Mus musculus: one gene and its partners. The protein of the gene in region 3 purifies or fractionates together with the protein of the main gene of each other region. This does not show direct contact. Links are inferred from orthologs where the notes say so. Each region holds a gene or a part of one and is shown on either strand. Other genes may lie near its edges.

Evidence for each region. The genes of interacting proteins can lie anywhere in the genome.
Region 1: the proteins of Cdk5rap3 (region 3) and Ufm1 purify together in Homo sapiens (co-immunoprecipitation; 3 studies listed by BioGRID and IntAct, with this or other methods). This does not show direct contact. The link is inferred for Mus musculus from reciprocal best matches to the Homo sapiens genes CDK5RAP3 and UFM1.
Region 2: the proteins of Cdk5rap3 (region 3) and Pip4p2 purify together in Homo sapiens (affinity purification with mass spectrometry; 3 studies listed by BioGRID and IntAct, counting the BioPlex papers as one, with this or other methods). This does not show direct contact. The link is inferred for Mus musculus from reciprocal best matches to the Homo sapiens genes CDK5RAP3 and PIP4P2.

The regions. Positions count from the first base shown.
Region 1 is NC_000069.6:53,861,160-53,864,907, forward strand, and holds the start of Ufm1 (ubiquitin-fold modifier 1), read right to left. Parts: upstream 2,649-3,748; 5' UTR 2,592-2,648; coding exon 2,590-2,591; intron 2,512-2,589; coding exon 2,455-2,511; intron 114-2,454; coding exon 56-113; intron 1-55. UniProt on the Homo sapiens protein: Ubiquitin-like modifier which can be covalently attached via an isopeptide bond to lysine residues of substrate proteins as a monomer or a lysine-linked polymer.
Region 2 is NC_000070.6:14,862,811-14,866,558, forward strand, and holds the start of Pip4p2 (type 2 phosphatidylinositol 4,5-bisphosphate 4-phosphatase), read left to right. Parts: upstream 1-1,408; 5' UTR 1,409-1,521; coding exon 1,522-1,627; intron 1,628-3,748. UniProt on the Homo sapiens protein: Catalyzes the hydrolysis of phosphatidylinositol-4,5-bisphosphate (PtdIns-4,5-P2) to phosphatidylinositol-4-phosphate (PtdIns-4-P).
Region 3 is NC_000077.6:96,913,772-96,917,519, reverse strand, and holds the start of Cdk5rap3 (CDK5 regulatory subunit-associated protein 3), read left to right. Parts: upstream 1-1,005; 5' UTR 1,006-1,130; coding exon 1,131-1,136; exon of another isoform or gene 1,137-1,323; coding exon 1,324-1,369; exon of another isoform or gene 1,370-1,469; intron 1,470-3,642; exon of another isoform or gene 3,643-3,723; coding exon 3,724-3,748. UniProt on the Homo sapiens protein: Substrate adapter of E3 ligase complexes mediating ufmylation, the covalent attachment of the ubiquitin-like modifier UFM1 to substrate proteins, and which is involved in various processes, such as ribosome recycling and reticulophagy (also called ER-phagy).

The DNA.
Region 1 (3,748 bases), on a different chromosome or scaffold from region 3:
AAAGCCAGAAACATGCTAACTGCATCCATAAGCTACTGTTAGAACCCACACTTACTTCTTCTGCTGCAAACTTTAGCACTGCTGTGAACGGCGTACTTTCAGGAACACTGAGACTGCAACAAGAAAAGAAGAATTTCACACAGTTCATTTCATTGCAGATAGGGAACATTTGTTTGGGGCTGTGAAGGGTGTCTGTTTTCAAGGCAGCATTTGTGCACTGACGTTGAAAAAACACTAGAAAAGCAGAGTCCAGGCAAGGAACCACAGCTCTGTGCAAAAACCAACACCCTGCAAGCAGAGCTCCACCTTCTCTTTCTTTTCATGTTTCCATGTGTTTAGGCTTATTGTATGTTATGTGTATATGTGCCTGCTTCTGTGTGTACACATGTGTAGAGGGGCTGATAGAAGCCAGAAGAGGGCATCAGATCCTTAGGAACTGGAGTCATTGCCAGTTGTGAGCTAGGAATGTGGGTGCTAGGAATTGAACCTGGGTCCTCTGCAAAAGTAGCTGTGCTCTTAACAAACCATCTCACCTGGCTGGTGAGATGGCTCAGCGGGTAAGAACACTGACTGCTCTTCCAAAGGTCTTGAGTTCAAATCCCAGCAACCACATGGTGGCTCACAACCATCTGTAATGAGATCTGACATCCTCTTCTAGTTTGTGAAGACAAATGTTATAGACTTCCATATAATAAACCACCAAGCCATGGCTCCACCCAGGTTGGTAAAAGTGCAGACCATGGGCAGACAGACACTTAGATGAACCCTCTCTCTCTCTTCTTAAAGACACTGTGTCTTTAAGACGCTAGCCTCCAACCCAGAGAATTAGCTTGCCTTTGCCTCACAAATGCTGGGATTATAGGTGTGCTAGTATGCCCAGGAGGAGATCTGTCAGCAAGGCCAACTTTTCTATAGCCTTGGTCTATTTTATTGCTTCTCGTCTAACGTTTTAAAATAAAAATGTTAAAGGCAGTGTTAATTAAGTACAAAAACCAGACACCTCTCTAGCAGAGAAAACGTTTCTATTTGTCAACACATAAAACATCGATGTCATATAACATTTGTAGGGCTAAGCCTGGATTTCTCTTCTCAGAAGCGCAGATGAATTTTTTGTGCTAGCATTTTTCCTTCCAAATGTTAATTAATAACCTAATCCTCAGTAGAACAAAGCAGGAAGACTGTAGAAAGGGGCTTTCCCAACAGTAGCTATGTGCTTTCTTGTAAAGGCATGGGAGATGTTTACGGGCATTCCATAAAAGTGAGAGGCGTCCCCTCTGATTTCTTTTGAATGGTGGGAAAAGGAGCTGTGGAAATTTTGAAATAAGACAAAAATACTTTCTGTGGATAGGAAAATGAGAAAATTTAGGGGAGCACAGTCGAGTGCCAGTTATGAGGGTTTCACATAAAACTCATCAGCACTATTGTAATTTCTTCAGGAACAGAGTTAAGTGCAGAGAACATAAATTTGGTTTTTCACCAAGCAAAATATTCCAAGCTATCAGAGAGGTGGCTATCAGATTCCTGGGAGTTAGCAAAGAAACGATCTTTAAAAAAAAAAAACAAAAAACAACAAAAAAAACCTAGACTACAGACTTTCGTCTGCACACGAAATGAGTGGGTATGGCACTAGGGAGGCAAAAGTGACAGAAAACTTTTAACTTTTATTGTTGAAGGCACACTGCGGTACATCATCCAGAGGAAGAGAATACAGCCATCTGAAGACAACCGTTTAGAATGAGCCCTTACGGGAGAGACGAGGGATACGTAGACCATTTTAGACATGGAAAGATAAGGGAACCACAGGCCACGAGGCTGAATGGATCACGGGTGGGAAACTTCAGAAAACGATGACAGCTGCTCTCAGCTCAGTTAGCTGGGCCTTGGTGCCACCAAACCCGTCATGAATGAAATCTATGGAAACCCTGGTCTGTCGCAGGTTAGCATAGGTCTTCCAGCTGCAGGAACTCAAAAGGGGTCAACTTAAAAATCATACTAAGATGGAGCTGGGTAACCTGTGTTAGCCATCAACTGAACTGCTGAAGCACAAGGAAGGGCCCAACAAGGACACAAGGTCCTACACCCCCATTTCCCAATCCCGCTAAGCACTTTTTATAAAGATCCAAGTGTGTGTGACTGGGAGTTCAGCACCTAGGCACCCAGTCGTTGTGTTTATACACAACAAAGCAAAAAAACTGAAGTTAAGAGTGTTCGGGTCGGACCTGTCAAAAGTCCAGACTTGGGAAGTCCTCCCTAACTTCCGGTAACAGCTGGTCCAGGTAAAGACCTTTAAATCAAGTAAACGGGTTCCATCCTCGTCCAACCTTCTTCCCGTTGCACCTGCCCACCCAGAGCGTTGCGAGGGGCCACTGGCTTTCAGCAGAAATGCCGCACCCTTCCTCCTGTCCCCCTCTGTCCCGCCAGGCCCGGCCAGCTCCAGCCCTGCCTGTCACTCACACTTTGTACGGCAGCCGCGGGTCCGACGTCAACGTGATTTTAAAGGACACCTTCGACCTGCCGGAGAGAACGAGAAGGCGTTACGGTCGGGACCGGCCACGGGGTTAAGGCCGGGACACAGGGACGGATACTTACATGGTGGAACCGCCTGACACACACCGCGCCCAGCCGCCCGCCGCGCTTCCTTGATGGCCGGCAGCGGGGGCCTTCGCGGCCCACGTCGCCCTCCAGCGCGGCTATCCACACAGCGCCTGAAAATTGTGTCGGAGCTCACAGGCTACAGAAGGCCGATAGCCCACAGTTAGACATTTCATTCTGAGTGTGTCTGTATCAAGTTGAAGTGTAAATGGTAGAGAGAGGATATGTTTCTACTTTTGGTAGTTCACTGACACATTTTTAGTCAGGCAATATAAGGGATGTCAAACAGAGCGGCCGCTAGGTCCCCACTGGCTGGTTACGGCGGAAGTAGGGACTGAGTCGAAGCCGGACGTGGCGGCGGAACTGGGGCCGGGACTCAAGGTCCGGGCGGATGAGGAAGCGTTGCGGAGTTGCTAAGCAACCTAGCAGCCGGCACAGATAGATACTAGAGAAGCTGGACTCAGTTGCTTTAACTAACAACGTTCTTTGATCTTTCTAGCATTTCTGATAATACGATTTCCATCCGTATTAACCTTATAGTTTTCTTCACATACTTCACACTTCACTACAGACTTTTTAATAATTTCAAAAGAAAGTTATCACGATAGAATTATGCTGAGATTCCTGTTAGGGCCCAGAAGAAAAAATTGTATCCTAGCACTAGCAGGTTTTGGAGGGAAAAAAAAATCATTACTATATCCCGTTGTTCTTGATGTGTCCAAATAGACTTTAACTCTAATGCAAGGTTGCCAATCAGGTACATTTGTTCAGCTGACCAATGAACCTTGTGTACAGCAGGCACTAAACTAAAGGCTGAGCTCACTGTGTACACCAGACATAACCAAAGGCTGTGATCCCAAGCAATCAGGCATAAGTCCTTTAGCATCTGTCAGTCGGTTGGATTTCTATCGTGAGAGGGGAAAGCTGTCTTTCATCTTTATCACAATGTAAACGCCAAGATAAGCATTCCATCTCACAATAACTATACCTTTAAAAAATATATACTGCAGTAAGTTGATGAAGCCAGAAATAGGCACTGAACCAAGAGGAGACCCAGTCAAACTTTAGAATGACAGGTGGATTCTTCATGAGAAATCCTGATAGATTAGAAGCTCCCTTAAGAACATTGGAACTACATCTCATCTTTCCTGTAATG
Region 2 (3,748 bases), on a different chromosome or scaffold from region 3:
AAAGAAAACATTGTTCTTTACCTTCCCTTAGGGTTTCCAGTTGGTACTTTATAGATTCAGGAAGAAAGAGTATGTCTTCAGAGAGCAACTTGAGGATCCTAAATGTGATTTGAGTAGTTTCGAATGTCTGCTGTTTATACGGACTGAAATGTAAGGGGCAACTCCCAATCTCCGGTACAGCTATTTCACTGTGGGACTTTTCAGCCACCTTGAGCATGGAGACCACACCCTAGATACTTGGGGACACCTGGAAGGTGAGTAAATAATTCTTCCGAAGTCACTCAGAAGAACCTCAGCAGGAAAGCTATTATTCTGATTGCATTTTTATTTGGATGTGTTCTAAACTTTGGTTTGTTTCTGTTGTTTTTTTAAAAAATGTAAATCGCATTGGAATCAAATGACAAAACATCAAAAAAGGGTAACAAAAATGTAAATAGAAAATAAGACAATAAGTCTGTTGAGTATTTAAAAACATTTATTAAAAAAACTGTGTGTGTGAGTGTGTGTGTTGATGTAGGCCTGATGAAGGTATTGGATTCCTTTTACTAGAGTTACAGGTGGTTTGTGAGCCACGAAATGTGGGTGCTGAGAACTGGCTTTTGTGACCTAAGCAAGATCAGTGAGCACCTTAATCAGTGTGCTAGCTCTTCAGTACAATGACCTTTTTTTAAAAAAAGAAAAATCTTTTGTAGGAAAAAGGTTTAATTTTTACATTATACAAAAAAGCCCCATTATTCTACAAAAACTAAAATGACAGTCTATTTTGTAAAACGGAAGTTGTAAAAGTTAACACTTATGCTTAAAGTGCCAAAAATCAAATGTCAGCACTCTTATTCCTAAAAAAAAAAATCAAGGAAAAGAGGAAAGCCTAATGCGCAGGCACCAACATTTCTCAGACAACAGATTCTCAGCTATGGTTCATAACAAAGAAGAAACCTCTCCGAAGAAAATGATAACCCAAGAAATAAGTTTTCTTCACCCAGCTGCAAAGTTTACCAGACAAGTTAGACTCTCCTACTTCCTGGAGGAGCTGAACTTGATTGCTCTGGTTTTGCCCGTAATCCAGTACAGGCCTTTCAGTGCCTCTCAAAGCTGCTCTTTATCCTCGGTTCCCTTAGTTTAAAAGATTCCTCACCCTCTCTTTCCCTTTGCCCCTCCTCTTGCTTACTTGATCTCTTCCCCTCCCCCACTTCCTAATCAGTCCTCCCGTCTCCCCTTTTCTCAGACTGGCTGGCTTTCCCTCCACACTTCTTCCCTCCCTCCTCCTTCTCCTCCTCCTCCTCCTCCTCCTCCCGGGCTCTTTCTTTCCTCTCCAGTCCCCTCCCCCAGCATGCCTCCCGGCGTGCTTCCCTTCCCCCGGCCTCGCGGTCCCGCACCCTCCCCTCCCCCGCCTCCTGCCTTGTGACACATCCTGGGCCCTCCCGGAGGCCGTAGCGGCGGCGCGGCGGCATTGCTGGCCACCACCTCCTCCCTAGCCGCAGCCCAGCTCAACCCGCGGCCCGCCGCGCTGTCGCTGCAGTCATGGCTGCTGACGGGGTGGACGAACGTTCGCCTCTGCTGTCAGCATCCCATTCGGGAAATGTCACTCCCACAGCCCCGCCGTACTTGCAGGAAAGCAGCCCCAGAGGTAAGGCCGGCATAGACCTTTCTGCTTCTCGCAGAAACGTCTGGAAGGATGGAAGGATGAATGCCGGGGAGCTCTAGCGCGGAGGCGGAGGAGAGCTTCTCCCTTGGGCTGGGGGAAAAGGATGCCTTCCCAGGCTCTGCCTGCCTACCCGAAAGCCTGTCTGCAGGGCTTCGCTGCTGCTGCTTGTGGTGTGGAGTGTGTGCTTGAACACTTCCTTCCCAGCTTCAGGATCGGACATGAATTTTCCCAAGCTCCGAGCTGCTGTTTCCAAAGCAGCCCCTAAGTGCAGCTGGGCGGTGGTGCAGATCCTTCAGTCATTCACAAGTGCTTTCGGTTGCTGAAAAACACGGGGCACTGCTCACCCTGGCATCTGCCCTTGAGAGGACTTCAGCAGGAAACATCTTAGTCCCTTACACTCGGCCCCGGAGTGCAAGCAGGGAACTGCCTAACCAGAAGCAACAGAGTTTATCCCTAATATGTCCGAAATTCCTAAGCTACGGGCATTGCTGCCTGTAAGGAGTGTGTTTCATAGCTTCAGTGGTGAATGAAGAGCCTTCCGTTAGGAAGGAGGAATTTTTTAAATGCATGTCTGGGTGAGGTTGAAATTAACTTCTAAAAAGTTCCCCAAGTTTATACCGTATATATTTTTAGTTTTGTTTTTCAGTGTAGAATTAAAAAGGGATTTGGAGAAATGGTGTGGTGAAGGAGAAGTCTCTTTACCAAAGGATTCGATTTATTCAAGCACTGTCTTTGTTCAAAGTCTTTGGGAGTGTTTACTACGGTAGTCTGGAAGGCAAGCCTTACAGAGATCATTAAATATGGCACGTGCAAGCGTACCTTACTTCATCTTGCTCTTTTGGCTGGATGTGAATGAAGTTTAAAACCCAAGGAGGCCAAAGTTAATAGTGTTTTGGGAATATAAGCAGGTCACGTGTCTTGTAACACAACTTCTAAGTTCATGTCTGAAATGGGGCAGGGGGGGGCGCGGGGGGGGGCGGGAAACACTACAACAGGTTGAAGTTGTCTGGCATTTAACATTTCTTTTTAACATTTTATAACTTGAAAATCAACATTCTGGGTCTCAATCTATAAACAGAAGCAGAACAAAGGAAAACTGTGGTTAGCTGGGAGTAATTCAGAGTGATTGACAGCCTGAGAGGAAAGGGGCAAAGTCCAAGGGAACTGACACACAGAAAACGTACAAGTGACCCTTGTTGGCCAGAAGTCGGGGGATTTCCCTTACTGGCCATTTGATATTAATATTGTACTATCTAATCCTTAGTCACAGGTTCCTGAATGAGTGTTTCAGTTTTATTAATTTTTGTCTATGGAATAAAATTGATGATTTATTAAGGGACTGAGTTTGGACTGAAGTAATGGAAATACCTTTTCCTTATTTTAGTCAATCTGTGTTTAGGACAAACACACACACACACACACACATATATATATGTATATATATATATGGACCTGCATAGACTTCATTGTTCTCTATAGATTTCCTTAATTTGATCAGATTCCTCAAACTACAAAGAGAGTGGCATTTCCAATCAAGCACTGAAAAGAAGTCATTTTACTCTAAAGATCTCTTAACTTAAAGATCTTTTAACTCCTTTGGCCTAAGAGTACAATAATTTTTTTTTTGGAAACGATGGAGATATTTAAAACACTAATATATGGGATAACATCTATGAAGGAAGAAACGTAAATGAGAAGCAAAGTCATTTTTTTTAAGATTTATTTATTTATTATATGTAAGTACACTGTAGCTGTCTTCAGACACTCCAGAAGAGGGCGTCAGATCATGTTACAGATGGTTGTGAGCCACCATGTGGTTGCTGGGATTTGAACTTTGGACCTTCGGAAGAGCATTTGGGTGCTCTTACCCACTGAGCCATTTCACCAGCCCAAGCAAAGTCATTTTATTCGCATGATGACAGTATCTTTTCTTGATTACTAACAACTATTTGAGTAATACACACGTTCTAAATCTTGGACACTGTCCCATTCATTCATTCATTCATTCATTCATTCAGGAACTTTATGGGCCCTCACAGTATGTCACATGCTACACTTCTCTGAGTCAGGCTGACTAAAACTGGGCCTTTATGGAGCTCAGGT
Region 3 (3,748 bases):
CTCTCTGTCTGCAGTGTGAAGTCCAAGTTCCTTAATGAGGGACTCTTTGTTACGATCCTTATATTTTTACAGCCTCCTCCCGGGTCACTGCCTTAAACCTTTTACTGTATAGAGGTGGGTCTGAGGTCAGCTATAGGTGGGAGACCTGTGTAGTGTCCTCTTGAGATCCCTCGTGAAACAAGGGACCTTGCACTTCACTTTGTCTTGGACCACGTATATTTTGCCGGTCTCCCCTGCTTGTCTTTCCCTGAACCACTCTTGCAGCTGTAGTTTTAAAGTTTGTGCAGTCTCTTCCATCAGAAACAGCCTTTCCACTCCACCAGGAACACCCGCCATCATCCTTCCTTCTGCAACTTTTTTTTTTTTTTTTTTTTTTTTTTTTGGCTTTTCGAGACAGGGTTTCTCTGTATAGCCCTGGCTGTCCTGGAACTCACTTTGTAGATCAGGCTGGCCTCGAACTCAGAAATCCGCCTGCCTCTGCCTCCCTGCTGGGATTAAAGGCGTGTGCCACCACGCAACTTTTTGTTTACTATTCAATGAGTGTTGCTTCCTCTCCCTTCCCTGTCCCAGTCGTCCAACAAGAATCGGGTGCTCAAAAATCGTATTTATCATAAATGGGAGGACAAAATGTGACGAGAGCCTCAAGAGACCTGTGACCTTCTATATGTGGTAAAGGGAGAAAATGGTGGGAAGAAAGTATTTTTTTTAACTACTTTCGAAACGCCATCGGGAAGGTGCTAGGACCTGTTCCGCGCATGTGTTCGTTCTCTAGCTGGGGGCTCCGCGCCAGGCTGATGAAAAAGCAGCCTAAAACGGCTCTTGGGTGCCCCCTACCGCCATCGTGCAAGTGTAACATCCCTTCCTGGAGATCACCCGGCCGGAGCCCGCCTCTCGCCTTCCATTGGCTGTCAGCTATTCTCCCGCCCCTCCGGTACTCAACCAATCAGAACATCGTGATGGGCGGGGCTTTCAGCAGAGGGGCGGAGCGTGGTCTTGGATTGGCTCCGCTGAAGACGGCGACGTGGCTGAAGGAGGCCGGTTTGTTTCGGAACTGAGGCTCAAGCACAGCCGCTCAGGATTGGTGCTAGGCTGGGCCGGGGTCTTTGGCCGGAAGCGGAAGTGGAGAAAGGATGCAGGTGTGGGGACCAGGGCTGGAGAAACTGGGTCTTCTCTGGGATTCCTGTCCTGCCTCCTCAAGTCCTCCCGTCCTCTGTCGGGTGCTCTGCCCCTGCAGGGTGGCGGTTGGACTCGTGGAATGAGCGCGCGCGAGGCGCATCGCCTTCCCGCGTTCACGCCCTCCCTCCCGGTCGTATTTCCCACCAGGACCATCAGCACGTGCCCATCGACATCCAGACCAGCAAGCTGCTCGGTAGGAGAGGGCGCCCCCGCGCGGTCGGCTCTCGGGGGAGGTCTGCTAGTTGCCCCCTGTCACCAACCAGCAGCCAGGAGCTGTGAAAGTCCCAGCTGAGGTGCTTTACTCCAGCGAACTGTTTGCTCTGCAAGGAAGGAAGCATGGAAAGTCTGTACTGGCTCCGTGTTTTCTACTTTTAACGTTTCTCACGTAGTATCAAATCGTATTCAGGCACACAGGACAAATGGATAGTGTTAAAGATGGACAGTTAAGCAAATGGCTGATCCATTTGAAACCTAAGTCTGTTTGGTTCTGTCTTCATGCATTTTGCATTATTTGGGGTGGGTAATCCTCTCCCATCTATTTAAAAAGTTTCTCTCCTTGGATTTAGGGAGAAGAGGGCCCTAAGACTCACATACAGACCTTTTATGCCAACCATGGTGGTTCACACTGGTAACCATAATACTTGGGAGGCCGAGGCAGGAGGATTGGTGGCAGTTCTCAGACAGCCTGGCTTGCATAGCAAGTACCAGCCTAGTACTCCCCGCCCCCCACCCCCACCCCCCCAAAAAACCTTTAGTCTTAGCACTCAGAAGGCAGAGGCAGGCCTTGGCCACATAGCAAGCACCAGGGCAGCCAGGACTACATGGAGAGACACTATTTCAAAAGAAAATGACAGAGAGACAAGAAGACCTTTTAGTGACCAGGCAGTCTCTGCATCTGGCTTACATCCCTCATTCTGTCACTTCTGGGGGTGTGTACAGCCCCTGGCCCTTGTGTTCACCAGATACGCCAGTCCACTGGTAACACGTCCTTAAGAGGGTGTTTGCCGACCTCAGCCCCTGGAGGAATTCTGGTGTCTGCTGTTTTCCTTTCTGACAACTTGAGAAGAACTCAGAGTCAGAATTTCTGATACTGTTGTTGCTTGAGAGAAATTAAGCGGTTGAAAGATTTGTTTTAAAGGAGAGGGAGTATTCAGTCCTTTGATGGACACTGGTGAGTCCTCCCAAGTGCCTGCCAGGCACGGGCCACCATGTATTCATAGTGTATGGGCACCCGCTGCATCTACCTGGGTGTGCCAGTTTGTCCTCGAGTCCTGAGAAGAACCAGTAGGACACCGCTCACCATGGAGCATTTGTTCCATCCCCGCTGCTATTTTATACTTGTCTTTGTTAAGATGAAATCACTAAGGTTTTGTGAGCCACTGCGAGGCACAAGGCTCGGTGCATAGGGCCTCATCTGATGTGTGGGGAAACTGAGGTACAGAGAGATGGAAAGGAACTGAGAGCCAGCAGGATGGCTCAGTAGGTAAATGTTCTTACCGGCAAGTCTGATGACCTGAGGTCAGCATCAGGACCCCTGTGATGGAAGGAGAGGCTTAGATCTCAAAAGTTGTCGTCTGACCTCCACTTGTGAGCTGTGGCACATGTGCATACATACATTTATGTGCATACAGAGTAAATAAAGTTAAAAACAGACGAGCGGGGCTGGTGAGATGGCTCAGTGGGTAAGAGCACCCGACTGCTCTTCCAAAGGTCCGGAGTTCAAATCCCAGCAACCACATGGTGGCTCACAACCATCTGTAACAAGATCTGACTCCACTCTTCTGGAGTGTCTGAAGACAGCTACAGTGTACTTACATATAATAAATAAATAAATCTTTAAAAAAAAAAAAAACAGACGAGCGACTAGGTTGGGCCATGATAGTGCACACCTTTAATCCCAGCACTGGGGAAACAGGCTTTCTGTGAGTTCGAGGACAACCTGGTCTATGTAGTGAATTCCAGAGGGCAACCTGGTCTACATAGTGAATTCCAGAACAGCCAGGGCTATGTAGAAAGAACCTGCCTTAAATAAATAAATAAATAAATAAATAAACCGTCAGCACCCTCCAGCCTTCGGGGCGCGGTAGGTGTTAGGGGCTTTGCAGTTGTTCGTTCATCCGGTACTTGGCATAACCACCTTGTGTTTTCCATTGTGGCGGTTAATCCCAGCCCCGAGGAAATGGAAGTTGAGCAGCACCCTCTGTCAACACGAAAGATATAATTACACACAGAAGCAAAATATTATGGAGACTTTAGAATGGTCAAAAGTGGCACTTTCATGTTGGGACCAATTTAAAGTTTTCCTTTATCCCTGTGTTAAGGCGGTTGCTCTGTAAAACTCATACGGGGATAAAGCCGGGGCGCCAGGGACTGTTTAGCCCAAGCGACTCTCTGCGTCTGTCTGTCTTTTCATCTCTTCCCATTCCTCTCTCTTAGCTAATACAAAGACTTTTGTTCAATATCCAGTATGTGGCACTTGAACCAGTGAATTCCCAGTGGGCAGTTAGTGGTATGGCGGGCTGTGGTGACCGGCTGGTTCTCGTGCAGACTGGCTGGTGGACAGAAGACACTG